4 linked regions of the Anolis sagrei genome follow. The protein of the gene in region 1 interacts with the protein of each later gene in a biochemical or structural test. Links are inferred from orthologs where the notes say so. Each region holds a gene or a part of one and is shown on either strand. Other genes may lie near its edges. The genes, in order: SH3GL2, SYNJ1, DNM1 and DNM2.

Region 1 (7,215 bases):
GGGCTATTTGGACTCAAGAGCCAGAAGGAATGGACTATTTAGGAGAGGAAAGCCCAGCTCCCGAGTATCTCTATCTATATCTATGTAGGTATCACTAGAAGGAAGGTCATTGGAGGAGGACTTTTACATAATCATCCAGGACAATTGGGAAGGGGGGAGGGAGAGAGTTGGCGGAGGTCTGGAAATATTTCCATCTGATTTGGGAGAGGAGGAAGCCCTCCCCCCAATCTCCCCGTAAAGAGCCGCAATGGCGAGGGAGCTCCAATGCAAGGAAAGATCAGCAGGAGAGAGGGAGAAAGGGAGTCCCAGGCTGAACCAAGCCACAAGGAAGGGTAGAGACATGCTGAAAAGGGGAGTAACCAGGTCGGGCTCCTTGCTGTGTGTGGAAGGGGTGGCAATGCGGTGCCCCCTCCCTGGGTTTCTGCGGCAAAAGTCTCCGACCCGGGACGCGGTCCAGATCCTGCGGAAGGCAGCCTGGCGCAGGAAAGGAGAGGCCTCCCTCCCTGCCAAAGGGATGCCAGCCTTGCCCTGACACAGTGCCTTCCCTGCTTCAGCTCTGCCTGCTCGGATCTGAGACCGACTCCAGAGCAAGGCAAGGGCAAGAGGCACCTCTCGAGTCTCCCTGGCCGAAGACAACCCCTCCAAGAAACCCCTTATGCTCTAGAACCCATGCAGTCGGGCACCAAACTACAATTATGGCGATTTGAGGAGGCAGAAGCCCTTCTTTGGTAAAGGAGGCTAAAATAAAGAGCCTGTACAACTCCCAGGCTTCTATAGCATTGAGCCATTGGGATCACACTGCATTCATTCTACCAGGCAAGATGCACCCTTCTTCAATGTGTTGTCAAGGGCTTGCATGGCCGGAATCACTGGGTTGCTGTAAGCTTTTCGGGCTCTATGGCTATGTTCTAGAAGCATTCTCTCCTGACGTTTCGCCTGCATCTATGGCAGGCATCCTCAGAGGTTGTGAGGTCCCCTCTGAGGCTGCCTGCCATAGATGCAGGTGAAATGTCAGGAGAGAATGCTTCTGGAACATGGCCATACAGCTCGAAAAACTTACAGCAACCCACTCTTGGTCTCTTTGCCCCAGATGTTGCAATCTGGAGCTTCCCAATACTGCTTTTGGGACTGTCAATCTATCCAGCTATAATAGAGAAAAGGGACTGAGTGTAAATCTCTGTATCGCCCCTCCAGATATGCTAAGGAAAGCTGTCTTTAGGGACTGTCAATCACAGAATCCCCCCCCCCCCAAAGCCGGCTCTGCTAAGCAAAGGTGCCTTTCTGGGGACTGTCACTCCCAAAATCCCCCATCCAGCATTTCCAAAAGACCCTTCCCCAAGCCCAGAAGTGCTGTCAACTGGAGACCAGAAGGAGATGCCAAAACAACCTCCCAAGACACCTTGCCTAATTAGATGCACCCTTGATCTCTTTGCTCCAGACGCTGCAATCTGCAGATCCCTCCAAAATGCTTTTTGGGACTGTCAATCTACTATCAAGTTCAAATGGGGGGAAAGGGATTGTCAATCCCTCAATCTCTTAAAATCATGACAGTAAATAAAGAACACTCTGAAGACAGCTAACACCTCCGAACAAAGGGTTCCCCCAGGCAGGAAGCAGTCAGGCTTTGAAGCTGCAAGGCTATTCAATGCTAATTAGGGTGATCAACTGCAACATTCACACTTGCCTCCAGCAGGTAAGAGTTCTTTTTCCCACCTTGGACATTATTCCACAGATGAATCAACCTCCCAAGCTTTGAAGCTGCAAGGCTATTCAATGCTAATCCAGATGCTCAATTGTAACAGGCAACAGTTCTTTCTCCCACCCTGGAATTTCCACATATATATCAACCTCCCAAGCTTTGAAGCTGCAAGGCTATTCAATGCTAATCTAAGGTGTCCAATTGCAAAATTCACCTTGGCCTCCAACAGACAAGAGTCCTTTCTCTCACCTGGGACATTATTCCACAGATATGTCAACCTCCCTTGCCTTGTTTCCAACAGACCTCACAACCTCAGAGGATGCCTGCCATAGATGTGGGCGAAACATCAGGAAAGAATGCTTCTGGGACATAGCCATGCAGCTTGGAAAACTCACAGCAACCCAATCCCTGAATCGTCCATCCCGCTATGTGAAGGAAAGCTGTCTTTAGGGACTGTCAATCACACAATTCTCCCCTAGCCAGCTTTGCTAAGCAAAGGTGCCTTTTGGGGGACTGTCGCTCCCAGAATGCCCCATCCAGTACTTCCAAAAGATCCTTCCCCAAGCCCAGAAGCGCTGTGAATTGGAGCCCAGAAGAAGGAGATGCCAAAACCACCTCGAATCGTCCCTCCAGCTATGCTAAAGAAAGCTGTCTTGAACGCCTGTCAATCACAGAATCCCCACCCCCACCCCCCAAGCCGGCTCTGCTGAGCAAAGGTGCCTTCTGGGGGGACTGTCACTCCCAGAATCCCCCATCCAGGCCCTTCCCCAAGCCCAGAAGCGCTGCCAATGGGAGCCCAGAAGAAGGAGATGCCCAAACCACCTCCGAAGACGCCTTGAAACGCCATGCAATCCATGAATCTATGGCTAATGCCAAGGCACGCACTCCCAACCTAGCAACACACACGCGCACACCAGCTCGGGCTCTCTTCCCCGGCTACGAAGGAGAGCGCCCCCTCCTGGCCCCTCGGAGCCTAGAGTGCGTGTGTTGAGAGGAGGAGGAGGAGGAGGAGGAGATTGTCCAGACCAGAGGGAGGAAGGCGCTTCGCCCTCCTTTGACCCGAGGAGGATGCCCCCAAGGCTGCTTCTCCTCCCTCCCTCCCGCTCTCCCTCCCGCTTCCCTTCCTCCTTGGCTTCCTTACCTGAGTGGCTTTGTGGAACTGCTTCTTGAGCCCCGCCACAGACATCTCTGCTGTAGGTGGAAGGAGAGCGAGAGAGAGAGAGAGAGAGATGGAGGGATGCCGGAGGAGCGGGAAAGGTCCCTTCTGGTGCCAGCCTCCCTCTTGCCCTCCTCCTGCTTGAGCGGGGATGCTCTGATGCAGAGAGAGAGCGCGCGCCTGACGTCAGAGACAGGCAGCCCTGCCTCTTAAAGGGACAGCCACCCCCCTCTCTCTTTTGGGTCAAGCAAAGAGCTTCAAAGCAGCCTCTCTGGCAATGAGAGGACATGGTAAGCAGCTTTATTGACTGTGGAAGAATGGAAAGAGTTATACTCCCTCCTGTTCCTTTTCCCAGTATCTTCCACCGGAGTGACCAGGACTGCTCTGGTCCTAAAACTTGGTAGGAATGTTTGGAAATAAATCCATATTGTCCAGATATACCTGATGTAAGGTAAAGCTAAAGAGAAAGGTTTTCTCCTGACATTAAATCCAGTCACATCCGACTCTGGGGGTTGGTGCTCATCTCCATTAAGCCCAAGAGCCGGTGTTGTCCGTAGACACCTCCAAGGTCATGTGGCCAGCATGACTGCATGGAGTGCTGTTATCTTCCCGCCAGAGCAGTACCTATTGATCTACTCAAATTTACATGTTTTGAACTGCTAAGTTGGCAGAAGCTGGGGCTAACAATGGGAGCTCACGCTGCTCCCCAAATCTGAACCTGTGACCTTTCCGTCAGCAAGTTCAGCAGCTCAGCACTTTAATCCACTGCATCACTGGGGGTCATAATAATAATAATAATAATCCAGACTGACAAAGTTTTGGAACACAATACACCAGACATCACGATTATGGAAAGGAAAAATGTTTGGATTTTCAATGTTGCTATACCAGGTGACAGTTGCATGGAGGAAAAACAACAGGACCTCAAAATCAAACTGAAATGGCTCTGGCATAGACCAGTACAGGTGGTCCCAGTGGTCATCGGCACACTGGGTGCCGTGCCAAAAGATCTCGGCCAGCATTTGGAAACAATAAACATTGACAAAATCACAATCTGTCAACTGCAAAAGGCCACCTTACTTGGATCTGCACGCATCATTCAAAAATACATCACACAGTCCTAGACGCTTGGGAAGTGTTCAACTTGTGATTTTGTGATACGAAATCCAGCACAGAGATCTCATTTGCTGTGACATACTGTGTTTTTGTGTCAGTATAATAATAACTTTATTTTTGTATCCCGCCTCCATCTCTCCGAAGGGACTCAGGGCGGCTTACATGGGGACAAACCCGATCAACATAGTTAAAATATAGCACAATAAAATGCATAAAACAAAGTCATAAAGCAATATAAAACAAACAACAACTCAACACAATATAAAACAACCATCAAGCAAAAAAAAACCAGTGGTTTGAGTAATAAACACTTCTGTTCTCGGGTGGGCAGACAGGTGCAAATAAGTTGTGAGGACAGAGTTGATGGATAAAGTACAAAGCCATATGACAAAGTTAGGGATGGAGAGCAATATGAAATAGAGCACTATTTCATATTCAACATCTTTATCAATGACTTGGATGATGGAGTAGAAGTCATCCTTAGCAAATTTGCAGATAATGCCAAATTAGGAAGGGGTGGCTAATACCCCAGAGGACAAGAATCCAAAATGTCCTTTACACTGAATGACCTGCTAGAGATGAATTATGTGGCTTGATTAGGGAAAATCATTAGGGTGATTTGCAAATGATTGGAAGCCCTTGACACACTTTTTGTGGAAAGACAAAAATGATTTGATAACTATTTTGAAAATTGATATTATTTGGTTATCAGAAGTGTACAATGTCATTAGAAGAGAGGAGGGAAGGGTTATATATATGTATGGCCTCTCAAAATAAAGTTCTTTATATGTTATCTTTTTCTGTCTTTGTCATTTCTTAAGTGTAGCTCTTCCATGTTTTTTTCCTTGCAGGATGTTTCCTTGCATGAAGAAATAATAATAATAATAATAATAATAATAATAATAATAATAATAATAACATATTCAACAAAATGTCATTGGCTGATTAGAAAGCTGAGTCAAAACTAACAAAATGAATTTCAACATGGAGTAATTTAAGGGATTACATGTAGGCAGGAAAAATGAAGTGCCCATATATTGTATGGGTGATACCTGGCTTGATAACAGTACAAGCAAAAAGGATCTAAGGGTCTAAACATGAGTCAACTGTATGATGTGGCAGCCAAAAACGGGCAATGCTATCTCAAACAACAGCATAGCATTCAGATCAAGGGAAGTTGTAGTACCATTCTGTTCTGCTTTGGTCCAAATTCACCTGTGTTCAGTTCTGGGCACCGCAATTCGAAAAGGATATTGACAAGTTGGAAGATGCCCAAATAAAAATGACCAAGACGATTAAAAGTCAGGAAAAAAAGCCTTATGAGAAATGACTTGGGGAGCAGAGTATATTTCGCTTGGAGAAGAGAAGACAGCACTCTTTCCAAAGCAAGGAGGCAAGTTCTCTGTTTCTTACTCTAGAGGAGAGGCGCTTGGCTGCTTTTGGTGGAAATATTACATTAGTTTTGTTTTTATTTGTCTAAGGGCCCTTTTACACAGCCCTATATCCCAGGCCGGATCCAGTCAGGCCTTTATCCCAAACATGGATGTTTCTGGGGGCCTGTCCACACCCACCCCAGAAAGCCATTACAAGCCTCGCCATGCCAGGAGAAATAATGCACCGGGGGGGGGGGGGGGGATAGCTCTCCCACACACAAACACACACACTCTCCTGGCATGTCATTGTATGCACCGGGAGAGCTGGCTGACTCTTGTAATGGAGGGCACAAAAGTTTTTATTTCTTTTCTAAGGGGTCTGGGGATTTGGGGGGAGGAGAGGAGGGCGCCCAAGGGAACATCTGGACAACCACACCAGAAAGCGCATGGGGGGGGGGGTATTCCCACAGTTTACTGGGCTTATATAGCCCAGTAAACTGTGGGAATACTGTCTGGACTGCAGTATTTTGCAGTCCAGACCTGGAAATAATGGATTTATCCCACGCCTTCCAAGAAAGCGTGGAATAAATCCACTACTAAATTAATTTGTTACAAAACAAGGTTTTCCTGGTTTGTAGGGAATTAATTTGGGACTGTCCAGACATTGTCTGGACAGCCCCTCCTTTATTCCAGTAGATACCGCAATAAAGGTGCTGTATGGAAGGCCCCCCAGAATATCAAGACAGAAAATCCCACAATATCTGCTTTGAACTGGGTTATCTGAGTCCATACTCAGATATTGTAGGATTTTCTGCCTTGATATTCTGGGATCTAGGGTGTGTGGAAGGGCCCTTAATTGAGGTTTAATTACTGCTTTTCAATAATAATAATAGACAATACAGAATTTATGCAATGGTATAGTATGGGGTATAGTAAGAGGCCGATTTTTCATTAAACCCTCAAGCAACCAGAAACTGCGTTATTCTGGTATCTAACAATCCCCATGGGTTTAAGCAACTGAGGGCCCTTCCACACAGTCCTCTATTCCAGAATATCAAGGTATAAAATCCCACATTATCTGCTTTGAACTGTTATCTGACTCCACACTTAGATAATGTGGGATTTTCTGCCTTGATATTCTGGGATAGAGGACTGTGTGGAAGGTCCCTCAGAGACTACTTATTTGTTTTTATCCTGTCTTCTTCCCAGAACTAGGACTCAAGGTGGCTTATAGTTTAAAAGAGCATTGTAGTTGAAAACATACCAAAAGTAACCATGAAAACAGAATTAAAGTAGTCATAATATTAAAATTTTTCAAATTTCTAGATAAACGAATAAAAGGCAATTGAAAATATTAAAAAGCTATTAAAATAGTACATTTAAAATGACACCACACCACTTGGTCCAGTCTTTAAAAGCCTGCTGTTTTAATAGCCTGTGGGAATAAAGACAGTTTAGCCTTTCAACTACATGGCAATGGGGAGTCCCAGAATTGAGAGGCAGCCATCAAGAGGACTAGGGTTGTGTCAATAAAGATACCATTTATTATTTTTGATCAAACACAAAGTGTTTTATCCAGCTGAAATGCAATAAATCATTGCTTCTTGTTATTTTTGTTAATATTCTGTCCACCTCCCCCCAAATATTGCTATCCAGGACGATTTCATTTCAGGGTAGCTTCATTTCAAAAAGTAGTTTGCTTTTGTGAGGGTCTTTGGAGTTACTTCATTGAATGCAATAAAGAGAAGCAAACTTTAAGGATGACATTTCACATACGCATGTACTGTACATGCACACTGCAAATAATGTTGTCGAGAGCGAAAACACAGAATTCTGGAGGGAAAATCCATTTATATCTTGTTTCAGTGAAG
Region 2 (7,528 bases), on another chromosome or scaffold:
TGATAAATACCAGATAAATGTAGTTTCTGGTTGGTTGACAGTTACTATTAAACATAGGCGTAACTAATCTATACCCCATAATATAACATAAACTCTGTGTTAACTTGATATCTATATTGAAACACGGTAATTAAAAATAAATAAAGACAAATAAAGACAAACTTAATGTAACATAGTTTTACTGTACAGTCAAGATTCCAAGTTTCAAACATCTGACTTACAAATGACTCCTAGTTAAGAATGAGGCTGAGAGAACAGGAAGGGAGAGAAATCTACCCCTAGGAAGGGAAATTCACTCATGGGAGAGTTGATGTAAGGGTCCTGATGGCGCAACGGGTTAAACCATTGAACTGCTGAATCTGCTGACCCAAAGGTTAGCAGTTTGAAGCTGTAGGTTTGGGTGAGCTCCCGCTGTTAGCCCTAGCTCCTTCCAACCTAGCAGTTCGAAAACATGCAAATGTGAGTAGATCAATAGGTAACACTTTGGCGGGAAGGTAATAAAAGGCGGCCATGCAGTCATACCGGCAACACAACCAGGAGGTGTCTATCTGTGTATGTCATAATCTATTCTGAATCTCCTCGGGGAGATAGAGCAGAAGATAAATAAAGTATATTGCTATTATTATTATTTATCATAGGGAAAAGGAGTCTCCACTGAAACTTCTTCACCAATCCTTGTTTCCACAACAAGCCAATTTTTTTCAAAATCCAAATCCCACAGGGACAGAAAGTGAGATGAAATGTTCTGAACAGTGGAACACACAGCAAAACAAACACCACAGGGGTGTTAACCATTCTCTATGCTATTTAAAGCTATATATTTGGCTGGAGTTACACTGAAAATGTTCTAACTTACTTACAAATTCAACTTAAGAGCAAACCTACAGAACCCAGTCATGTCCATAACTTGGAGACTGCCTGTATTATAAAAACAGCCTTGTGGATGCAGTATTATTTTCCTCAGTGTTTTGCTGGTTGCTTGAGAGTCCCAGATAACAATGGCCCCTTCCACACAAGCTGAATAAAATCCCACACTATCTGCTTTGAATGGAATAAATGGCAGGGTGGACTCAGGGCCTTTCACACAACCCTGTATCCCAGAATATTAAGGCAGAAAATCCCACATTATCTAAGTGTGGATTCAGATAACCCAGATAAAAGCAGATATTGTGAAATTTTCTGCCTTGATATTCTGGGATATAGGGCTGTGTGGAAGGGCCCTCAGATAATGCAGGCCCCTTCAAGCCAGGCCCTTTATCCCAAGATCCGGTTATTGGTTTACTGCTTTAAACTGGATTATATGTGTCCGCACTGCCAGGTAATCTGAGAAAAACAGAAAACCTGGGATCAGATCCTGGGATAAAGGGCCTGTCTGGAAGGGCACTCGGGGACTTTCCACACAGCCCTATTTCACAGAATATCAATGCAGAAAATCCCACAGTATCTGCTTTGAACTGGGTTATCTGTGTCCACACTCAGATAATGTGGGATTTTCTGCCTTGATATTCTGGGATATAGGGCTTTGTGGAAGGGCCCTGGGTTATCTGCGGGCCCTTCCACGCAGCCCTAGATCCCAGAATATCAAGGCAGAAAATCCCACATTATTTGAGTGTGGACTAGGTTATCTGAGTCCACACTTAGACAATGTGGGATTTTCTGTCTAGATATTCTGGGATATAGGGCTGTGTGGAATGGCCCTTAGTTCAAAGCAGATATTGTGGGATTTTCTCCCTTGATATTTTGGGATCTAGGGCTGTGTGGAGGGGCCCTGAATCCACACTCAGATAATATGGGATTTTCTGCCTTGATATTCTGGGATCTAGGGGTGTGGAAGGGTCCCGAGTCCACTCTCAGATAATGTGGAATTTTCTGCCTTGATATTCTGGGACATGGGGCTGTGTGGAATGGCCCTTAGTTCAAAGGAGATATTGTGGGATTTTCTCCCTTGATATTTTGGGATATAGGGCTGTGTGGAAGGGCCCTGAATCCACACTCAGAAAATGTGGGATTTTCTGCCTTGATAGTCTGGGATCTAGGGCTGTGTGGAAGGGCCCCGAGTCCACACTCAGATAATGTGGGATTTTCTGCTTTGATATTCTGGGTTATATGGCTGTGTGGAAGGGTCCTAAGAATCTCCTGTGCCTCACTTTGCCTAAAGGCAGAGCCAGGGCTAAGTAGCAATTTCAACCCCCTCCAACAATGTGTGTTTATACATTGCACAATAACTAGATATTAACATCTGGATATAAACATCTGATTCTTTTAAAATCCAGCGAGATTTTAAAAGACGTGTTTTGAAGAGCCGTCGCAATTCCATGTCAGAGACGCCGCCTCGCCTCGGTGTTGAGACGGAAATCGATTTCTTAATGAACCGCAGGCCAAAGAAAACATGATTACTAATGACAGCAGTAATGGAAGCCCAGCTGGGAACTGCCTCAGAATTTGAGAGCAAGGAAAACAGCATCTTGGGAGCCATACACAGAAACACCAAACTGGCAGGCTTCTCCCCCCATTGGGGGAAAAGGGGGCCTTCCTGGGTTCCCGAAGCGAGGCCTGGCCTGCGGGGTCTTTCTGGAGATGGGGACCCTTCCCTTCCCTTTCCCCAAGACCGTCCCCCAAGGCTCCCCATCTCCCCGTTTCCTCAGAGAGCATAGCCAGCGGTGGACGCCCGGCTTTCCACGCAGGCGATAAGCTTTTGCCAAGGCGACGCTGATAATCCCATATACCGAAGGCCTCCCTCCTTCCCTCTCCCCATCCCTCCTTGCCGTGACAGGCCGGCGCTCACGACTCCTCCATCTTGGGATTCCCTCTCTAACGGCTCCCCCGGCCCAGGAAGGGGCCCGAGTTCCTCCCAAATAAGAACTGAAGCAGAACGGGCGCCTCGGAAGAGATGCGGAGTCCTCCCCTTACCGGCCACCTCAGGGAGCCTCTTCGTGCAGCCGCTGCCTGAGGCGCTGGCCTCACTTCCTCTCCGGCGGGGCCGCCGCTTCCGCACTGCCCCGCCCCCTCCCCTCCAGACCGGAAGTTGTGGGAGGTGCGCGAGGACAGGGAGGGAGGGGCGCCCTGTCTCCAGGGAAGGAGAGTCTTCCTTCACCGTCTACTTTAGAGCAGGTGTGGGCCAACTTGGGCCTTCCCTCCAGGTGTTTGGACTTCAACTCCCACCATTCCTCACAGCTTAAGCGGCTGAGGGGGAAAAGGAAAAGGCCTGAGGCTGTGAGGAATGGTGGGAGTTGAAGTCCAAACACCTGGAGGGAAGGCCCAAGTTGGCCCATGCCTGCCTTATAGTCAATCTAGTTGTGGCTTTCTCAAGAGGCTCAGGCAGCAAAAACAGACCGTGCTTGACCTTGGTGTGTGTGCTTGTGGTTTGGCCTGAAATCCCTTCTTGCTGTCAGGAGGCAAGATGGATTGTTTTGGAACATGACTAACTGGAAAACACTACCCTCCGGAGGCGCATCCGTTTCCTTTCAGAAGACCTGCTGACTCAGCAAATTGGCTGTTTTTTTTTAAACGCAGCATCATTTTTTTGTCCACATTTCGCCTTCCTCTAAGCCAGTGATTCTCAACCTTCCTAATGCAGCGACCCCTTAATACAGTTCCTCATATTGTAGTGACCCCCAACCATCAAAATATTTTCGTTGCAATTTCATAGCTGTAATTTTGCTACTCTTATGAATCGTAATATAAATATCTGATATGCAGTATGTATTTTCAATAACTGGGACCAAATTTGGTACAAATATCTGATACGCCCAAATATGAATACTTTGTCATTTCAGAGTTGCAGTTGCTGGGATTTATAGTTAACTTACAATCAAAGAACATTCTGAACTCCATCAATAATGGAATTGAACCAAACTTGGCACCAGACACCCATGACCAACAGAAAATACTGGAAGGGTTTGGTGGGCATTGACCTTGAGTTTTGGAGCTGTAGTTCACCTACATCCAGAAATAAATGCACCCTATTCCAGAAGTTACTGGACTGTTTGGGGCTTTTAAAAGTGCTTTAAAACAGTGATTTTCAGCCTACTTCGGAAAAAAAAGTGGGAGGGTAAAGTAGGCCCTCTGTATCAATGGATTTAATCATGTATATTTCTTATGTGGTTTCACAGCGAGTTAAACTGCTGAACTTGCTGATCAGAAAGTCAGTGGTTCAAACTCACAGATGGGGTGAGCTCCTGTTGTTAGCTCCAGCTTCTGCCAACCCAGCAGTTCAAAAACATGCAAATGTGAGTAAATCAATAGGTACAGCTTCTGCGGGAAGGTAATGGTGCTCCATGCAGTCATACCAGCCACATGACCTTGGAGGTGTCTACAGACAACACCAGCTCTTTGGCTTAATAATGGAGATGAGCACCACCCCCGACTAGACTTAATGTCAAGGGGAAACCTTTACCTTTACTAGGATTTAATCCATCATTCCATAGCATTTACATTATTTCTTATGTTTTCAAAAGGCAGGCCTTGATTTTGTTATTCTATTTAAGGGACATCATTTTATTATGCCATTGTAAATAATATGACTTGACCATTGATGAATTCATAACACAGGTCCTGGAATCAAACTGAACAGATACCAAAGCCCCACTCTATGTGGCTTGAATCGGAAAACCCCACATTTTAGCATGGATTGCCATTCAAGGTCTTGGGAGGAGTATGTGGCCCCCAGGACCACTGGAAGTAGGTAGTGATTACAGGCATGAAGAAAAAAAGTCTATTGCCTGTATATTAACAAAATGTTTTATTGCTGCTGGATAATTACTTGTGACAGATCTGTCACACTACATAATCCTGTGATGTTTCTTTTTTAATGGTTTGACTTAATGCTTTTAACATTGTGCACAAACTGAAGGTCAGAGTAGGAAGGCTTCACATACTAACTCTATGACACCTCTCTACATCAGTCATTGTACTCCGATATTTAATTTCTGCCAGCACTGCTTTCTGGCCTATTCTTTCTAAGAGCTTTAGGACTACCGCCACTGTCTTGTTCTATTTTTGGGTGACACAAGTTACTTAACGTGGAAAGGTTATGCCAAAATTAGATCTAACCAGTTGTCTGCATGCAGACAGATATCAAGTTTAGAGTAATGACTCATTAGGTTTTAGAAACCCAAAGTACAGGACTTTTGTACCTGTACCTTTTTAGAAATTGAAATAGCAAAAGTATGCAAACCAAAAGTAGACCGGGTACAGCTACTTGTCACTTTCTCACTTATATCCAAACAGTAGAATAATTTCATAAATAATGTAAATGCTTTCATAAATCAGTACTATTTCATTCTCTTAACATAAAACACTAGGATGTTTTCAATTAAGAATCTCTTCCCTGACTTTTGTACCCAGAATTTGTTTTAAGAGAATATAAAAGAAGTTGTAACTTTTTTTTCTGTATAGCATAAATGTTTTATATAGACAGTATATTCTTAAAACAGATGTGCAAATAAGTGGAGCTCTATATATTATTAGAATAGAGCTCCTAATCTGTATGAGAACCCTTGTTCCTTTAACAGGAATGGGCAATCTTTGGGCCTCCAGGTGTTTTGAACTTCAGCTCCCACAATTCCCAACAGCTGGTGCCTGTCCTATAATAAAGAATTTAATTGATGTTGGTTGCCTGGGGCTGCTAATTAAATATGTAAGACTGATCGCCAAGCAAATCTGTAGAGGACTATAATAGGTTTTCACTCAAGATTACCAGCTTTAAAATGAGCAGTTTTTAAAAAAGACTGTCTGGGAGACTTGACATAAATTTAAGCACCACTCGTCTTAAAATCAAAACCTATGGAATTAAGTTTGAAAATAAGCAGTGCTTGATTTTAAATTGCTTCGTCAGCTTTGAACAACAGTGAGCCGATCTTTATACTAGTTTAGGACATAGGCCAAAGTGCTAACACAAGAGTGCAGCACTGTCACTCAGCTTTACCTTGTATGGCATGGACCTTATTTACCACCTCATTGTGCTTGAGAACGGCTTTTTAAAAATCACATGGCAGCCTAAATAGAAAGTAAATGCTTCGGCAAGAATGAATCAGGAAGGGCTGACATCAAGTATATGAATAGTTAGGATAGAAATCTGCTAAATCAAGGTAACATGAGAAAATATTTCCAATGGAAGTTAGTGATTATCAAACATACATTAATTTAGCAATGTTCTTTTCAGAATAAAAATTCTGTTTACATAGTGAAATACTGTATATTCTGGGGTTTTACACAACTGGGGCTATAAGACGACACCCCAACTTTAGCACACAAAATAGAGAGTTGGGGATATGCTCACCGTTTAAGACGACTCCGCATTTTCTGTCCTCTACGCCAGGTGGTTTCTGTCCTCTACGCCTGGTGTGTGGTTGCCCCTGGGCTGCTTCCTGCGCCACCTCCAGAAGGGCCTCCCGCGCTGCTCAGACCGCTCTCCTTCTTCCTGCCGCCATGGCATCTCTGCCTCCCAGCCCCGTCAAGCCTTGCGAGAAGCGCCTCTTCTCCTGCGAGACAAAGTTGTCTCGCGGGTGAAGAGGTGCTTCTTGCGAGACCTGGCCAGGAAGGAGAGCGGCCTGAGCAGCGCGGGAGGCCCTTCTGCTCAGGCCGCTCTCCTTCCTGGCCAGGCCTCGCAAGAAGCACCTCTTCTCCAGCGAGATGTCTCACAGGAGAAGAGACGCTTCTCGCGAGGCCTGACCAGAAAGAAGGAGTGCGGCCTGACCAGCGCGGCAGCCAGGAAGAGAGGAAGGACGGGGAGCCTGCCATGAGCCAAGGCAGTGGAGGAGGAGGAGGAGGCGGAGGCGGAGGGGAGCCCGTGGCCAAGGCCCTCCACACCAAGAGGCTCTACCGGTAATTTTATTATTAATTTTATACCCGGCGTAGTAGACTCCGCAAATTTTATAAGGTTTTACATGCCTAAAAAGTCGTCTAGTACCCCGGAATATACAGTACTTTCACTACAAGGAAATGCATTTTACTGTGAACCCCCAAGGACTGTTATGTAATTGCAATTGTTAATTTTTAGTTATTATCATCAATACACAAACAGAGACCAAGGATATTGTTTTGGAAATTTCTTTACTCTGAGCAGGGTCACACCATATACATATATTTTGGACCAAATTCCACCAACTGAAATCTTACTTTGAAATCTTCCATTATCTGAAACACAAATTTGAGGGCTATACTATTTGCAGATGATCTGTTAATGAGCTTTATACTAAGGAATTTCCTGTTAATGGAAGGTCATTCAACTGAATAGATGGCGACAATGGAGTATAAAAGTCTTTGTAAACAAGATGGAGGTGAAAATTTTCCTGGCTTCCTTTTCATTTTCTCAGAGACATCAATGCTAGTATAGATGCTGTATATAAGAATGCATTTTGTATTAAAAACAATCCATAGTTTACAGTTTAATAAAACTTTACATATGTACAAAATTACACTTCAGGAATGATTTTTATATCCCAGAATTACATGGCAAAACTTTATTTCCCCTCACTTTTTAACTCTTTCACATTATGATCATTAGCCACGGTCACAGCATGGTCCA
Region 3 (7,703 bases), on another chromosome or scaffold:
GAACATTGCATCATTGCAAGAAGAGCAACGTTGCATTGACGTTGCATCCTCCTGGAAGGAATTGCAATGGCCCAATCGAAAATGATGAAGATTTGCTTCTGCCTGCATTGCCCCCCTTTTACCCTTCTGATATTTCTCTCCTCTCTTGAGATTACGTAACGATGGGGGTTGAGGACTGGGCTTTGCTTGCAGACGGAGCTGTTTCCTTCACATCCTCTCTTCCTAGCCAACAAGGTTAACTTCCCAAGGCCAGGAGCAACAGAAGGAAGGGGAAGAGGAAGCAATGGGAGGGGAATGTTGCCCAGACTCAGCTCAGCAATCCCAGGATGATTTGGGATTAACACCATTCGATCTCTCCTTGCCTTGAGGATGGGGAGGCAGAGCACAACACAACACAACCACCGCCCCGTCCTTCCATCTCCAACCCCAAAAGATATATGTGTGTGTGTGTGTATGTATACATATATGAACAGAATTTGGATCAGCTTCTGGATTATGATGCCAGGTCTACGTACGATGCTTCCAAGTCTATGCATTGTATTGACATGCCATTGTTTTGATGGCCATTGTATTTATGATTTTGTATTTGTATTTTTAATATTTAATGCAGCATTGAATGATTGCCAATTTGGAAGCTCCTCCAAGGTTGAGATAGAGCAGGGTAAAGAAAAGGCAGTTAATAAATAAATAATGTGTGTGTGTGTGTATATATATATATACACACACACACACACACATATACATACATATATATATATATATATATATATTATTTATTTATTTATTAACATATATATATATAATTTATTTATTAAATTTTAAATAATTTACATACTTTTGTGCATTCTTGTCATTGAGGTTTTTATGGTCTTCGTGTATCTGTTTAGATCATTATGTTTATCCAATTATTAATTATATATATTTTTGGCTGAGCACTTATTAATTTTTAATTATTATTTTTTTACTGCTTGATTTTTGTGGATCTTTTCTACCAAGGTATTGAATGTTTTCGTTTCTTTCTTTCTTTTGTCTGGAAGCTGCCCTGAGTTCCCTTGGAGAGATAGGGAGGTCTATTAATAAATTATTATTATTATTATTAATTTTTTATGTGTGTGTGTATTTCTTCTCCTCCACCCTCCCTCCAGAAGGAAAAACAGGCATGCTTCTCCCCAAACCTAGAATGGCTGCTGCTTATTTTTACTATTATTACCATTTTAATTTCTGAATTCAAATCCAAATAGAATTATTATTATTATTATTCCCAATGTAATTTCTGAATTCAAATCCAAATTATTATTATTATTATTTCCAATTTAATTTCAGAATTAAAATCCAATTATTATTATTTTATATATTATTATTCCCAATTTAATTTCTGAATTAAAATCCTATTATTATTATTTTATTTATTATTATTCCCAATTTAATTTCTGAATTAAAATCCTATTATTATTATTTTATTTATTATTATTCCCAATTTAATTTCTGAATTAAAATCCTATTATTATTATTTTATTTATTATTATTCCCAATTTAATTTCTGAATTAAAATCCTGATGATGATGATGAATTTCTGAAGTAAAATCCAAATAATGATGATTATTCCCAATTTAATTTCTAAATTAAAATCCAAATGATGATTATTATTTATTCCCAAATTAATTTCTGAATTAAAATCCTGATGATGATGATGAATATCTGAATTAAAATCCAAATGATGATGATGATTATTATTCCTAATTTAATTTCTGAATTAAACTCCAAATGATTATGATGATTATTATTTTTCCCAATTTAATTTCTGACTTAAAATCCTGATGATGATGAATTTCAGAACTAAAATCCAAGTAATGATGATGATTATTATTCCCAATTTAATTTCTGAATTATAATCCTATTATTATTTATTCCCAATTTAATTTCTGAATTTAAATCCAATTATCGTCATTATTATCTATTCCCAATTTAATTTCTGAATTAAAATCCAATTATCATCATCATCATTATTTATTCCCAATTTAATTTCTGAATTACAATCCTATTATTATTATTATTATTATTATTATTATTATCTATTCCCAATTTAATTTCTGAATTAAAATCCAATTATTATCATTATTTATTCAGAACTTAATTTCTGAATTAAAATCCAATTATCATTATCATCATTATTTATTCCCAGTTTAATTTCTGAATTAAAATCCAACTATTATTATTATTATTTATTCCCAATTTAATTTCTGAATTATTATTTTTACTATTATTATTATTATTATTATTATTATTATTACCCTGGAGATTTGCAGAAAAGCAATGCCTCTGTTTGAGCCTGTGCTTGGGGAGGGAAGGCAGGAGGGAGAGGGTGGGGTGGGGTTGCTAGGCAACCCCGGCTGTCAATCACAGGCCTGCCTCCTAGGGTTGGTGCTGGCACCAGGGAGCATCTGCAATGGATGGATGGAGCCGGGATGGAAGCCTTGCATTCATCCTCTCCGCCATCCCTTGCACTGCCACTAGAGGGAGCCATTCTGCATGGAGAAAGCAGGCTCAGATAGAGATAGAGAGAGATTGCCATACACATAAATAGAGAGAGAGATGCATAGAGAGACTGACCTGCCGACGAAATTCTCCAGGACGGAGCTCTTCCCGGCGCTCTGCCCGCCAACCACGGCAATCTGGGGCAGGTCCAGGTTGGCATTCTGCCCGATGGCGGAGAAGGCGTCCTGGAGCCGGTTGACCAAGGGAATGAGGTCCTCCATCCCCCGGTTGCCCATGGCTGCGCCCGCTTAGCAGCCCCGCCAGGGAGCTGGCCAAATACTGGTCCCAATACAAGAGAGTCTGCTGGGGAGGCTCAAGCCCGGGCCGGCTCCCCCAGGCCTGCAACAAGGGCTCCCTTCCCCGTCTCTCTCTCTCCCTCTCTCTCCTCCCGCTTAATCCATAGGCTTGCCTCCTCCTCCTCCTCCTCCCGCTGCAGCACTGACTGCTTTGACTGGCTCCCAACGCAAAGACAGCGCGCTGTCCCGCCTCCCGCCGCCAGAGGGCGCCCTCCGCAGCGCCTCCAAGCGCTTCCTGGGAAATGTAGTTCAATAGGCAGAGGGGGATGCAGCCCAAGGTTAGCATCCTCCCATCCTAGGCCATGTTTGGAAGACCCAGTTCAAAGCAGATACATGTGGGATTTTTCTGCCTTGGATATGCTGGGTTATATAGGACTGTGTGGAAGGGCCTTGGGTTAGAATAATAATCATAATAATCATAATAATCTATATAAATAAAAATATAATGCTTATTTGTGGGATTAAGAGAACTCAAAAACCACTGGGGGAATGTCACCAGATTTGGACACAAGACACCTCTCAGGCCAATGAGTGACCATCACTCATAAAAACACTGAAAAACACAGAGGTAGGGACTTAAAAAGCCAAAAAACCAAAAGAAAACATTACAACTCATGTGCAAAACCACATATATATATACAAACACACACATATACACACATGTGCATACACACACACAAAACATACACAGAAAGAAAGAAGGAAGGAAGGAAAGAAGGAGGGAAGGAAGGAAAGAAAGAAGGTGAGAGAAGGAGGGAGAGAAGAAGGGAAAGAAGGAGGAGGGAAGGAGAGAAAGAAGGAAAGAAAGAAGGGTAGAGAAGGAGGGAAGGGGAGAAGAAGGGAGAGAAGGGAAAGAAGGAAGGAAGGAGAGAAAGGTAGAGAAGGAAGGAAGGAGAGGAGGGAAAGAAGGAGGGAAGGAGAGAAAGAAGGAAAGAAAGAAGGGTAGAGAAGGAAGGAAGGAGAGAAAGGGGGAGAAAGAGGGAAGGAGAGAAGGAAAGAAAGAGGGAGGGAGAGAAAGAGGGAAAGGCAGAGGGAAGGAGATAAAGAAGGAAAGAAAGAAGGGAAGGAAGGGTGGAGAGAAGGAGGGCAAAAATGAAATAAGTGAAAGAGGGAATGAAGGAGAGAAGGAACAAAAGAGAGAAAAGGGGAGGGAGGGAAGGAAGGAAGGAAGGAAAGAGACAAGTAGGGATAGAACCAAAGAGCAAAGGAAGCAAGAAAAGAAATAGGTAGAGAAGGAAGAAAGAAGAAGGGAAAGAAAAAGAGGGAAGGAAGGAAAGAGGGAGAGAAGAAATGAAGGAGAGAAAGAGGGAGGGAAGGTTGGCCACAGCAACGCGTGGCGTGTACAGTTAGTAATCTATATAAATAAAAATGTAATGTTTGTTTGTGATATTAACAGAACTCAAAAAGCAGTGGGCCAATTGACACCAAATTTGGACAGCACACACCTAACAACCTAATGTATGTCCTTCACTCAAAAGTTTTTGATTTTGTCATTTGCGAGTTGTAGTTGCTGAGATTTATAGTTCACCTACAATCAAAGAGCATTCTAAACCACATAAATGATGGAATTGAACCAAACGTAGCACACAGGACTCCCATGACCAACAGAAAACACCTCATTGGGTTGCTCTAAGTTTTTTGGGCTGCATGGCTCTGTTCCAGTAGCATTCTCTCCTGATGTTTTGCACCCTCATAGGTTTATTGGCAGTGAGGCAAGTATATATAAGTATGTTTGCATGTGAAATAATGCCTGGTCTCTCCATTCATCTTGTTGGGTTGCTGCAAGTCTTTTGGGCTGCATGGCCCTGTTCCAGCAGTATTCCGAAAGGCTCAGATGTGCCTTTCAGCTCTCCTTCAGGATCCCATTTGCACCAAAATGCAGCAGCCACAGCTTTGTCTTGTTTTGCAACGGCTTTTCAGAAGAGAGAGACGCAAATGTATGTTGACATAGCAACCACGGGGATGGGGCTCTGTGTTGCCACAAGGAAATGTGTGCAACCTGGCTGTTGTTGTTTGGTTCGTGCATCATCTCACGGCAGGAGGGAAGCATCTCAGATCAGGAGTCAACCTGAGCACTTTTGCAGGGATGCCGACAACAGGAAGAAGTGCTCTTTTTCCTTTTGTTTTTAAATAACCCCCCACCCGTGAACCACCACCAATGACCTCCACCAGGTGTGAAACTAATATCTGGTGCCAGAGAGCAGTCTGTTCAGCACTTTTCAGGTCGCCCCGTCCTCCATGTACCCAGGAAGGAGCCTCTCATCCTCACAACCTCTGAGGATGCTTGCCACAGATGCAGGCAAAACGTCAGGAGAGAATGCTTCTAGAACATGGCCATACAGCCTGAAAAACCTACAACAACCCAGCCTCTCATCCACTATCAGCCATGGATTGAGGTTTCGGGTTTTAGCCTGCCACTTTTGGACTCTTGCTTGCTGAGGTGTTTCTGCGAGTATCTCTCTTGATCTCAGGAAGTTGATTTAAGGCATTGGGATGCTGACTGATATCTGAACAGAGGATGGGCCAGAGATGACAATGCCTTGGTCATTTCATTGCTGGCTGCTACTTCCCGACAGATGTCAGGTGGTGCAATATTGGCTAAACAGTATATTTTCTCCAGTGGTGTTGGGCGTCCACATCCACTTTGTGGGGAGATGTGTTCCACACTGGGCATGACTACTCAGCAGCAGAGTAGCAAAGCTCAAGGGCAGGTGTCTTAACTGTGTCTGGTTGTGATCCCAAGGTTGTGCCAGCTTTCATACAATATTATTTCTAGCACCCACTTTTTGCTTGATAGGCAAGCAGTGCTTCTTGTAGGTCAAAGCATGGTCCAGAGTGACTCCCAGATCACTCTGGGAGTGCTTCCGTGCAATTCCTTCCTAGCTCATCCTTAGACCTCAAGATCCTTGTCTGTCCTTAAGGTGAAAAGCACATGTCTGCATTTTAGATGGATTAAGAATTAGCTAGTTTTCCCTGAAATAGGCAGTCAACGCATCTAAAGCTTCAGAGAGCTTTTGTTCAACAATTTCAAAGCACTGCTTGGGCGGTGATGGCACGATCATCAGCATAGATTACACTCTCTGACCCTTCTGGCAAGTGGCTGGTCATTTGTGTATATGTTGAACATGGATGGAGCCATGGATTGAGGCTCCCCTGAGCCAGGCTGTTCTTCTGCTTCTTTGGCCCTGGAACTCAACAAAAAAGCTCCTGTTTTGTAGCAGATTTCCTATGAAGCGGGTGAGGTGGTCATCCCTTGTGATATTATATGTTTTTTCTCAGGAAAAGGCCATGATTTACAGTGCCTTAGGCTACTGACAGGTCTATGAAGACAGGTTCTGTAATCTGATGCCTTTCAAAACCATCTTCTATGTGTTGAGTCAGGTTCAGCACTTGTGATGTGCAGTTTTTGCCTTTCCTAAAATAGCTTGATGTGAGATCATAAATGGGTCTATTTTTTCCATAATTCTATGCAAAATAAGCCTCTCCTGAACTGAAGGTGAAAAGCACATATCTGCATTTTAGATGTAATTGGCAATAGGAGCACTCCAAGCTTTGGGGAGCTTCTCTTCAACCATTTCAAAGCTCCCTCCGTGAGTGGTGATGGCACGATCGTCAGCATAGATGAAACTCTCTGTCCCTTCTGGAAGTGTCTGGTCATTTGTTTAAATGTAAGAGCACCTAAAGCTTCAGAGAGCTTCTGTTTAGTCATTTCAAAGCTCCCTGCTTGAGAGGTGATGGCACGATCGTCAGCATAGATGAAATTTTCTCTCCCTTCTGGCAAGTGGCTGGTCATTTGTGTAAATGCTGAACATGGATGAAGCAAGCACACTTGCCATCTTCTTCTCTGGCCCTGGAACTCAACATAAAAGCTCTTGTTTTGTAGTAGATTTCCTATGAAGCGAGTGAGGTGGCCATCCTTTGTGATAGGAGAAGGCTATGATTTACAGTATCATAGGCTACTGACAGGTATATGGAGACAGGTTCTGTAATCTGCTGCCTTTCAAAAACCATCTTCTATGTGCTGAGTCAGGTTCAGCACTTGTGATGTGCATTTTTTCCCTTTCCTGTTCAACCATTTCAAAGCTCCCTGTTTGAGCGGTGATGGCGCGATCATCAGCATAGAGGAAACTCTCTGTCCCTTCTGGCAAATGGCTGGCCATTTGTGTATATGTTGAACATGGATGAAGCAAGCGCCTGAGAACTGGGAAGCCCTGGTCCTAGAACAAGCCCTATGAGGAGCGGCTTAGGGAACTGGGCATGTTTAGCCTGAAGAAGAGGAGGCTGAGAGGAGATATGATAGCCATGTATAAATATGTGAGAGGAAGCCACAGGGAGGAGGAGGGAGCAAGCTTGTTTTCTGCTTCCTTGGAGACTAGGACGCGGAGCAATGGCTTCAACTAAAAGAGAGGAGATTCCATCTGAACATTAGGAAAAACTTCCTGACTGTGAGAGCCGTTCAGCAGTGGAACTCTCTGCCCCGGAGTGTGGTGGAGGCTCCTTCTATGGAAGCTTTTAAGCAGAGGCTGGATGGCCATTTGTCAGGGGTGATTTGAATGCAATATTCCTGCTTCTTGGCAGGGGGTTGGACTGGATGGCCCATGAGGTCTCTTCCAACTCTTTGATTCTATGATTCTATGAGTGCTCCAGCTGGAGGTCAGCTGTGACCAGCAGTGCTGCATAATTTGAAGAGGCACGAATAGAGGGCGAAAGAGAGAAATGTGCTAAGAGGAAGGCGCATCAGGCCAACCCCGACCGAGACCACTTTCCACCTGAAAAACCAATGCCCTCACTGTGAGAGAAGATGCAGATCAAGAACAGGGCTCCACAGTCACCTACGGACTCACCAGAACACTGATCCTGGAAGACTATCCT
Region 4 (7,471 bases), about 43 Mb from region 1:
CAAAATGGGGGACGCCTGGCTCAAGAGCAGTATGTGTGAAAAAGATCTTGGAGTCCTCGTGGACAACAAGTTAAACATGAGCCAACAATGTGATGTGGCGGCAAAAAAAGCCAATGGGATTTTGGCCTGCATCAATAGGAGCATAGTGTCTAGATCCAGGGAAGTCATGCTACCCCTCTATTCTGCTTTGGTTAGACCACACCTGGAATATTGTGTCCAATTCTGGGCACCACAATTGAAGAGAGATATTGACAAGCTGGAATGTGTCCAGAGGAGAGCGACTAAAATGATCAAGGGTCTGGAGAACAAACCCTATGAGGAGCGGCTTAAGGAGCTGGGCATGTTTAGCCTGAAGAAGAGAAGGCTGAGAGGAGATATGATAGCCATGTATAAATATGTGAGGGGAAGCCACAGGGAGGAGGGAGCAAGCTTGTTTTCTGCTTCCTTGGAGACTAGAACAATGGCTTTCAACTACAAGAAAGGAGATTCCATCTGAATACGAGGAAGAACTTCCTGACTGTGAGAGCCATTCAGCAGTGGAACTCTCTGCCCCGGAGTGTGGTGGAGGCTCCTTCTTAGGAAGCTTTTAAACAGAGGCTGGATGGCCATCTGTCAGGGGTGCTTTGAATGCAATATTCCTGCTTCTTGGCAGGGGGTTGGACTGGATGGCCCATGAGGTCTCTTCCAACTCTTTGATTCTATGATTCTATTGTTTAAATTAATGTTCTATTTATTGTTTTAAATGTGGTTATATTGCTTTGTTATATTTAATAATATAACGTACCTTGGGAAGGCTGACTTGGCCACGGTAGTACACACTTTGGTTACATCCCGCTTAGATTACTGCAACGCTCTCTACGTGGGGTTGCCTCTGAAGACTGCCCGGAAGCTGCAGCAAGTACAACGCACGGCAGCCAGATTACTAACGGGTGCTGGGTACAGGGAGCACACCACTCCACTGTTACACCAGCTCCACTGGCTGCCGATTAGCTTCCGAGCACAATTCAAAGTGCTGGTGTTAACCTATAAAGCCCTAAACAACTCCGGCCCTGTTTACCTCTCCGAACGTATTCTCCCCTACGAACCATCAAGACCACTAAGATCGTCTGGAGGGGCCCTGCTCTCGGTCCCACTGCCTGCACAAGCACGGCTGGTGGGGACGAGGAACAGGGTCTTCTCGATGGTGGCCCCTCGACTTTGGAACTCCCTGCCATTAGAGATCAGAACTGCCCCCTCCCTCATGACGTTCAGGAAACTAACAAAGATCTGGTTATGGAACGCGGCATTTGACAACTGATTTAATTCTTTGCTCACATGAAAGGAGGATGATGAATGGTATTGTGATGGTGTCGGACGATTTGGCTCTTTTAACTGTGATGATAATGTTTTAATCGGTGATCTCAAGACTGGACTACTGTAACGCCCTCTACATTGGCCTCCCTCTGTCGGTGATTCGGAAGCTCAAGTTGGTACAAAATGCAGCTGCTCGGCTTCTTGCGGGAATTCCGATGAGATGCCACATAACACCAATCTTACTACAGCTGCATTGGTTACCAATTGAGCACCGGATCACTTTCAAAGTGATGGTACTCACCTTTAAGGCCTTGCATGGTCTGGGGCCAATGTATCTGAGGGATCGTCTCACCCCCTACCAACCCCAGAGATCCCTCCGTTCTGAGGACCAAGATCTATTGGAAGTCCCCAGTGTCAAGACCTTGCGTCTAACAGCAACCAGACGCAGAGCCTTTACAGCAGTGGCACCATCACTCTGGAATACTCTGCCACCTGAAGCCCGTGCCTTGCGGGACTTATCAGCTTTCCGCAGGGCATGTAAGACATACCTGTTCCGACAGGCTTTTAATGTTTGATACTGTTGTTTTTAAATTGTTTTAAATTGGTTTTAAACTTTGTTAGATTTTAGCTATTCTTGTAAGCTGCTCCGAGCCCCAGGGGAGTGGCGGCATATAAGTTTAAATAATAAATAAATAAATAAATAATGTGTATGGTGCTGATATTTTAATCGTGTTATGAAGTGCCATTGTGTTGTTATTGTATATTCTTTGTATGTTAACACATGTTGTGAACCGGTCCAAATCCCTCTTTGAAGGTGAAAGGGTCGGTATATAAAACCTCGAAATAAAAAAAATAAAATAAATAATGACATCAAATTGTGCCAAATGTAAGCCGTCCCGAGTCCCCCTTCGGGGGTTGAGAAAGACAGCGTAGAAATGCTGGAAATAAAATAAATAAACAAAATAACCTCAGAAACAGGCCTAAAAGCAAGATATCAAGAAAAGAATGTTGTTGTTGTGCTGTGAATATGCAATGACAAGTGTCATTATTGTGTGTGGGGGAGTTTAAGCAGAGTGGCGTCGAATGAGGAGGAGGCCCAAACTGCACCTGCTGCTGAGGGAGGCACAAAGGTTGCTGTAATCCTCGCCCGCCCATTCCACACACTCACAGACCCACAGGGCGCGAGGACGAGCCAGAGGCCGGGAGAGCATCCCCACAAAGCTTGCTTCTCCCGCGCGCGCCCCTCCCTGCCCGCCTGCCTCGCGCGCCCCTTACGCAGCTGACGCAACTGGCGCACTGAGACGCCCTCACTACGGCGGAGGGGGCTATTCACAGACGGTGCGTGTGCCCAGCTCCGCAGCAGGCGCGCGTGCGCGGCATTCTCGGCAGGCATTTCCGTAAACTGCGCCGCATTCTGCTCAGAGCCCTTTCCCACTCACCGGCCTACGAAGTTCTCCAGGACGGAGCTCTTGCCCGCGCTCTGTCCGCCGACGACGGCGATCTGCGGCAGGTCGAGGTGGCAGCTCTGCCCGATGGAGCTGAAGGCATCCTGCAGCTTGTTAACAAGCGGGATCAGCTCCTCCATCCCTCGGTTGCCCATGGCGACGGCCTAAAAGAAAGCGGGGAGGGCGCTCCTCCGCTTCCTCGCTCAGCCCCCGGCAACAAGCACCAAACTTCCCCCTCGGAGTCTCCTCATCCGGCCTCAGCGACGCCCCGCTCGCGCCTCCTACCGCCCCGACTCCCTTCCCATTGGTCAGCGCAGCCATCACTCCGTAGCGGTAACCAATAGGGAACGAGGATCTGGCGGACTCCCGCGCTGATACGGCGCTGTTGCATCGGCCCGCCTCATTTCCGGTTGGCGTTCTAATTGGACGAACTCGCCTGTCATTCGGCGCTCCCTCTGCGGCTCACCCAGCCAATAGCCGCCTCCGGAAAGTGGTCAAACTGCATTAAACCCCGCCCCTTTCTCTCGGGCGCTGCTCCCCATTCGTAACCCTTGCTCTCCTCTTCAAACAACGAGTTATCTATCAAAGCGGCGAGCCCCGCCCGCTGCGCCTTTTTCGCTTTCTATTGGCCAATGTTTCTGTCACTCAGAGCGAGCAGCCAATCGCTTCAGTAAAGTTAACTTTTTGGAAAGGCGAATGTAATGCTGAACTCAAAAACCACTGGACGAAAGACACCAAATTTGGACACAATACACCTAACAGTCCAATGTATGTTCTTCACTCAAAAAATGATGTTGTCATTTAGGAGTTGTAGTTGCTGGGATTTATAGTTCACCTACAATCAAAGAGCATTCTGTACCGCGCCAACGATGGAACTGAACCAAACTTGGCACACAGTTCTCCCACGACAAACAGAAAATACTGGAAGGGTTTGGTGGGCAGTGTCCTTTGGTTTTGGAGTTGTAGTTCACCTACATCCAGAGATCACTGTGGACTCAAACAATGATGGATCTGGACCAAACTCTACACGAGTACTCAATATGCCCAAATGTGAACACTGGTGGAGTTTGGGGAAAATAGAATCTTGACATTGTAGTTCCTGGGATTTGTAGTTCACTTACAATCAAAGAGCATTCTGAACCCCGCCAACGATGGAACTGAACCAAACTTGGCACACAGTTCTCCCACGACAAACAGAAAATACTGGAAGGGTTTGGTGGGCAGTGTCCTTTGGTTTTGGAGTTGTGGTTCATCTACATCCAGAGATCACTGTGGACTCAAACAATGATGGATCTGGACCAAACTGGGCACGAAAACTCAATATGCCCAAATGTGAACACTGGTGGAGTTTGGGGAAAATAGAATCTTGACATTTGGGAGATGTAGTTCCTGGGATTTGTAGTTCACATACAATCGCAGAGCATTCTGAACCCCACCAATGATAGAATTGGGCCAAAACTCCCACACAGAACAGCCATGTGGGCCACAGCAACGCGTGGCAAGGGGCGGCTAGTATATTATAAATATTATATGTATATACAATATATTATATTATGTTATTAGCTTAGCACAGGAGACAGGAGAAGAGAGAACTTGTAATTCAAACAGGATATATCATATTTACTCAAATCTAATGCTCACCTTTTTGGGCTATATTACCTTCCCAAAATTAAGGTGCACATTAGCTTTGTGTTATACAGTAATTTTAGTGCTGAGCCAAAGCAAAATGGGAAGCTACTTCCGAAGCACCTGGAACTCCTATTTGAGGGACATGATCTCTAATTTAATTGCCTGAGTTAAATGCTATGCAATGCTGGGATTTGTAGTTGGTGAGTCACCAGCATCTTTTGGCAGAGAAGGCTCAAGACTTTGTAAAACTGTGCTGTTCCAGCAGACACCAGCCAACCCCTCTCCAAAGCCAGTGATACAGCTTAATGGTGTAACATTCGAAAATGTTGATCATTTCCGCTACCTTGGCAGCCACCTCTCCACCAAAGCCAACATCGACACCGAAATACAACACCACCTGAGCTCTGCGAGCGCAGCATTTTCCCCAATGAAGCAGAGAGTGTTTGAAGACCGGGACATCTGTCTACAGATGTCACATGCAACTCCTGGAACGATTCCATCAGTGCTGCCTCCGGAAAATCCTGCAAATGTATTTATTTATTTATTTACGGCTTTTATATGCCGCCCTTCTCACCCTGAAGGGGACTCAGAGTGGCTTACAATATATATTTTCATACAATATATTATATTATTAGCATAGTACAATATCAGTATATATTACTATATTGCACTATACCATTATATTGTAATATTATTAGTAATATTACATGTAATGTAAATATATAATTATAATTATAATATTGAATTATTATTACTAGTATTATATTGTATTACATTATAATATTATAAATATTATATGTATATACAATATACTATTATTATATTATTAGTAAAGACAAGATGGAAGTGTCTTCTGCTCCCTTCTGTCTTCGCTGTGGCCAGAGCAGCCGTTGGGAAGACAGGCGGACAAACGTCAGCGTGCTGGAAGAAGCAAAGACCACCAGCATTGAAGCGATGGTCCTCCGCCACCAACTCTGCTGGACCGGCCACATTGTCCGGATGCCCGACCACCATCTCCCAAAGCAGTTGCTCTACTCCGAATTCAAGAATGGAAAACGGAATGTTGGTGGGCAGGAAAAGAGATTTAAATATGGGCTAAAAGCCAACCTTAAAAACTCCGGCGTAAACACTGAGAACTGGGAAGCCCTGGCCCTTGACCGCTCCAGCTGGAGGTCAGCTGTGACCAGCAGTGCTGCAGAATTTGAAGAGGCATGAATGGAGGGCGAAAGGGAAAAGCGTGCCAAGAGGAAGGAGCATCAAGCCAACCCTGACCGAGACCGCCTTCCACCTGGAAACCAGTGCCCTCACTGCGGGAGAAGATGCAGAACAAGAATAGGGCTCTACAGCCACATACGGACCCACAAGAATATTGGAAGACAATCCTCCTCAGGAAACGAGGGATCGCCTAAGTAAGTAAGTACAGCCCCCATGACTCCAAAACATTGAACCAAGGATTCATTCTACAGCACAGATGCACCCCAAGGTTTTCTTTTCCATTGCTGAAAGCTTTGGTGTCTTAACACTTTTGTTCTTAAAGGAGGAATTCAAAGCAGGCAGCCACTATTTTTTTGACCAAATTACAAAGAGTGCACCTTTTGTTACTGGATATTACAGACACCAGCAAATACTTTTTTTAGTTTTAAGGTTTTGAACATTGAGGTGCAGGTAAAATTCGATGGCACATTAGACTCGAGTAAATACGTGTAACCACAGTGACATGATCAGTCATTTTCAGGAGCAGGCACAGCAGGTGCACTAGTTTTATTATACAAATGTACTCCAGATCACCTTTGAAACCTATATATCCAGGCTCAAGGTTGGGTTCAGGAGTACGGGCGAGCTGCAAACACAAGTTTCCAGGGAGAGTGTAACCACACCCAGAATAAGTTGAATATTTATTCTCTGGTGTGCTTTTGTCATGTCTGCATTTCAGCATGAATATATTGACCCTTTTCGGTCCACTGCATACACCACTGGTTTAGCACCAAAGCTGCTTTCCTTCAGTGAAATACTGATAGCTCTGGAGAGGTCATGCTAAACCAACATATCTCTTTGTGTTTCCTTCCAGCTGTTTATTTATTTACTCAATTTCCATCTCACCTTTCAAACCAGAAGATTACATTTTTAAAACCAAGAAAATATAATCTGCCACTATGAAAACAGAACTCCTAGCTGCCCAAGCACAGAAGTGGGGGGAGCCTCATGAAATAGCTGGGCTTCACATATGTGTTTGAGCAGTGGCAGTTAATGCACCTGTATGTCTACTTTCATCAGCTGAACCTCTAAACGTCATGGTGGTATTGCATATTCATTTCATATTCAGGAGGCTAAGATTGAGGTCAAACTCCCTGCCTTCAAGCTGATCTGACCTGCAGCAGGGAGTTCCTCAGTTCTCCATTGCCCCGCTTGGGCCAACCTGCATGAACATGGCCACAGCAGCAGCTGCAATTCAGAAACCTTCTTGTTAGTTTCGCTTTCTTCCCCTTCCTAACATTGTAACTAATCCCCCCAATAAAAAGTATCAATTAATTGTACAGTATATTCTGGCGTATAAGACTACTTTTTAACCCAAGAAAATCTTCTCAAAAGTCAGGGGTCGTCTTATACGTGGGTGTAGTCTTATGCATGGCAGTCGTCTTAACTCTACATTTTAACTGGAAAAGTTGGAGGTCGTCTTATACGCCGAGTCGTCTTATATGCCGGAATATACGGTAACTTTGAGAGCTGGACCTTAGGGAAGGCTGAGCGAAGGAAGATAGATGCTTTTGAGCTGTGGTGTTGGAGGAAAGTGCTGAGAGTGCCTTGGACTGCAAGAAGATCCAACCAGTCCATCCTCCAGGAAATAAAGCCCGACTGCTCATTGGAGGGAAGGATACTAGAGACAAAGTTGAAGTACTTTGGCCACATCATGAGGAGACAGCAAAGCCTGGAGAAGACAATTATGCTGGGGAAAGTGGAAGGTAAAAGGAAGACGGGCCGACCAAGGGCAAGATGGATGGATGGCATCCTTGAAGTGACTGGACTGACCTTGAAGGAGCTGGGGGTGGTGACGGCCGACAGGGAGCTCTGGCGTGGGCTGGTCCATGAGGTCATGAAGAGTCGGA

Evidence for each region.
Region 2: the proteins of SH3GL2 (region 1) and SYNJ1 form a complex in vitro, tested with the Homo sapiens proteins (2 studies listed by BioGRID and IntAct, with this or other methods). The link is inferred for Anolis sagrei from reciprocal best matches to the Homo sapiens genes SH3GL2 and SYNJ1.
Region 3: the proteins of SH3GL2 (region 1) and DNM1 form a complex in vitro, tested with the Homo sapiens proteins (2 studies listed by BioGRID and IntAct, with this or other methods). The link is inferred for Anolis sagrei from reciprocal best matches to the Homo sapiens genes SH3GL2 and DNM1.
Region 4: the proteins of SH3GL2 (region 1) and DNM2 interact in a biophysical measurement, tested with the Homo sapiens proteins (2 studies listed by BioGRID and IntAct, with this or other methods). The link is inferred for Anolis sagrei from reciprocal best matches to the Homo sapiens genes SH3GL2 and DNM2.

The regions. Positions count from the first base shown.
Region 1 is NC_090022.1:212,488,890-212,496,104, forward strand, and holds the start of SH3GL2 (endophilin-A1), read right to left. Parts: upstream 3,036-7,215; 5' UTR 2,886-3,035; coding exon 2,841-2,885; intron 1-2,840. UniProt on the Homo sapiens protein: Implicated in synaptic vesicle endocytosis. May recruit other proteins to membranes with high curvature. Required for BDNF-dependent dendrite outgrowth.
Region 2 is NC_090023.1:69,429,308-69,436,835, forward strand, and holds the start of SYNJ1 (synaptojanin-1), read right to left. Parts: upstream 3,015-7,528; 5' UTR 2,911-3,014; intron 2,894-2,910; exon of another isoform or gene 2,766-2,893; intron 1-2,765. Other genes in the region: PAXBP1 (PAX3- and PAX7-binding protein 1), read right to left, coding at 7,464-7,528. UniProt on the Homo sapiens protein: Phosphatase that acts on various phosphoinositides, including phosphatidylinositol 4-phosphate, phosphatidylinositol (4,5)-bisphosphate and phosphatidylinositol (3,4,5)-trisphosphate. Has a role in clathrin-mediated endocytosis.
Region 3 is NC_090031.1:16,582,818-16,590,520, reverse strand, and holds the start of DNM1 (dynamin-1), read right to left. Parts: upstream 3,012-7,703; 5' UTR 2,772-3,011; coding exon 2,611-2,771; intron 1-2,610. UniProt on the Homo sapiens protein: Catalyzes the hydrolysis of GTP and utilizes this energy to mediate vesicle scission and participates in many forms of endocytosis, such as clathrin-mediated endocytosis or synaptic vesicle endocytosis as well as rapid endocytosis (RE).
Region 4 is NC_090022.1:169,260,455-169,267,925, forward strand, and holds the start of DNM2 (dynamin-2), read right to left. Parts: upstream 3,012-7,471; 5' UTR 2,894-3,011; coding exon 2,733-2,893; intron 1-2,732. UniProt on the Homo sapiens protein: Catalyzes the hydrolysis of GTP and utilizes this energy to mediate vesicle scission at plasma membrane during endocytosis and filament remodeling at many actin structures during organization of the actin cytoskeleton.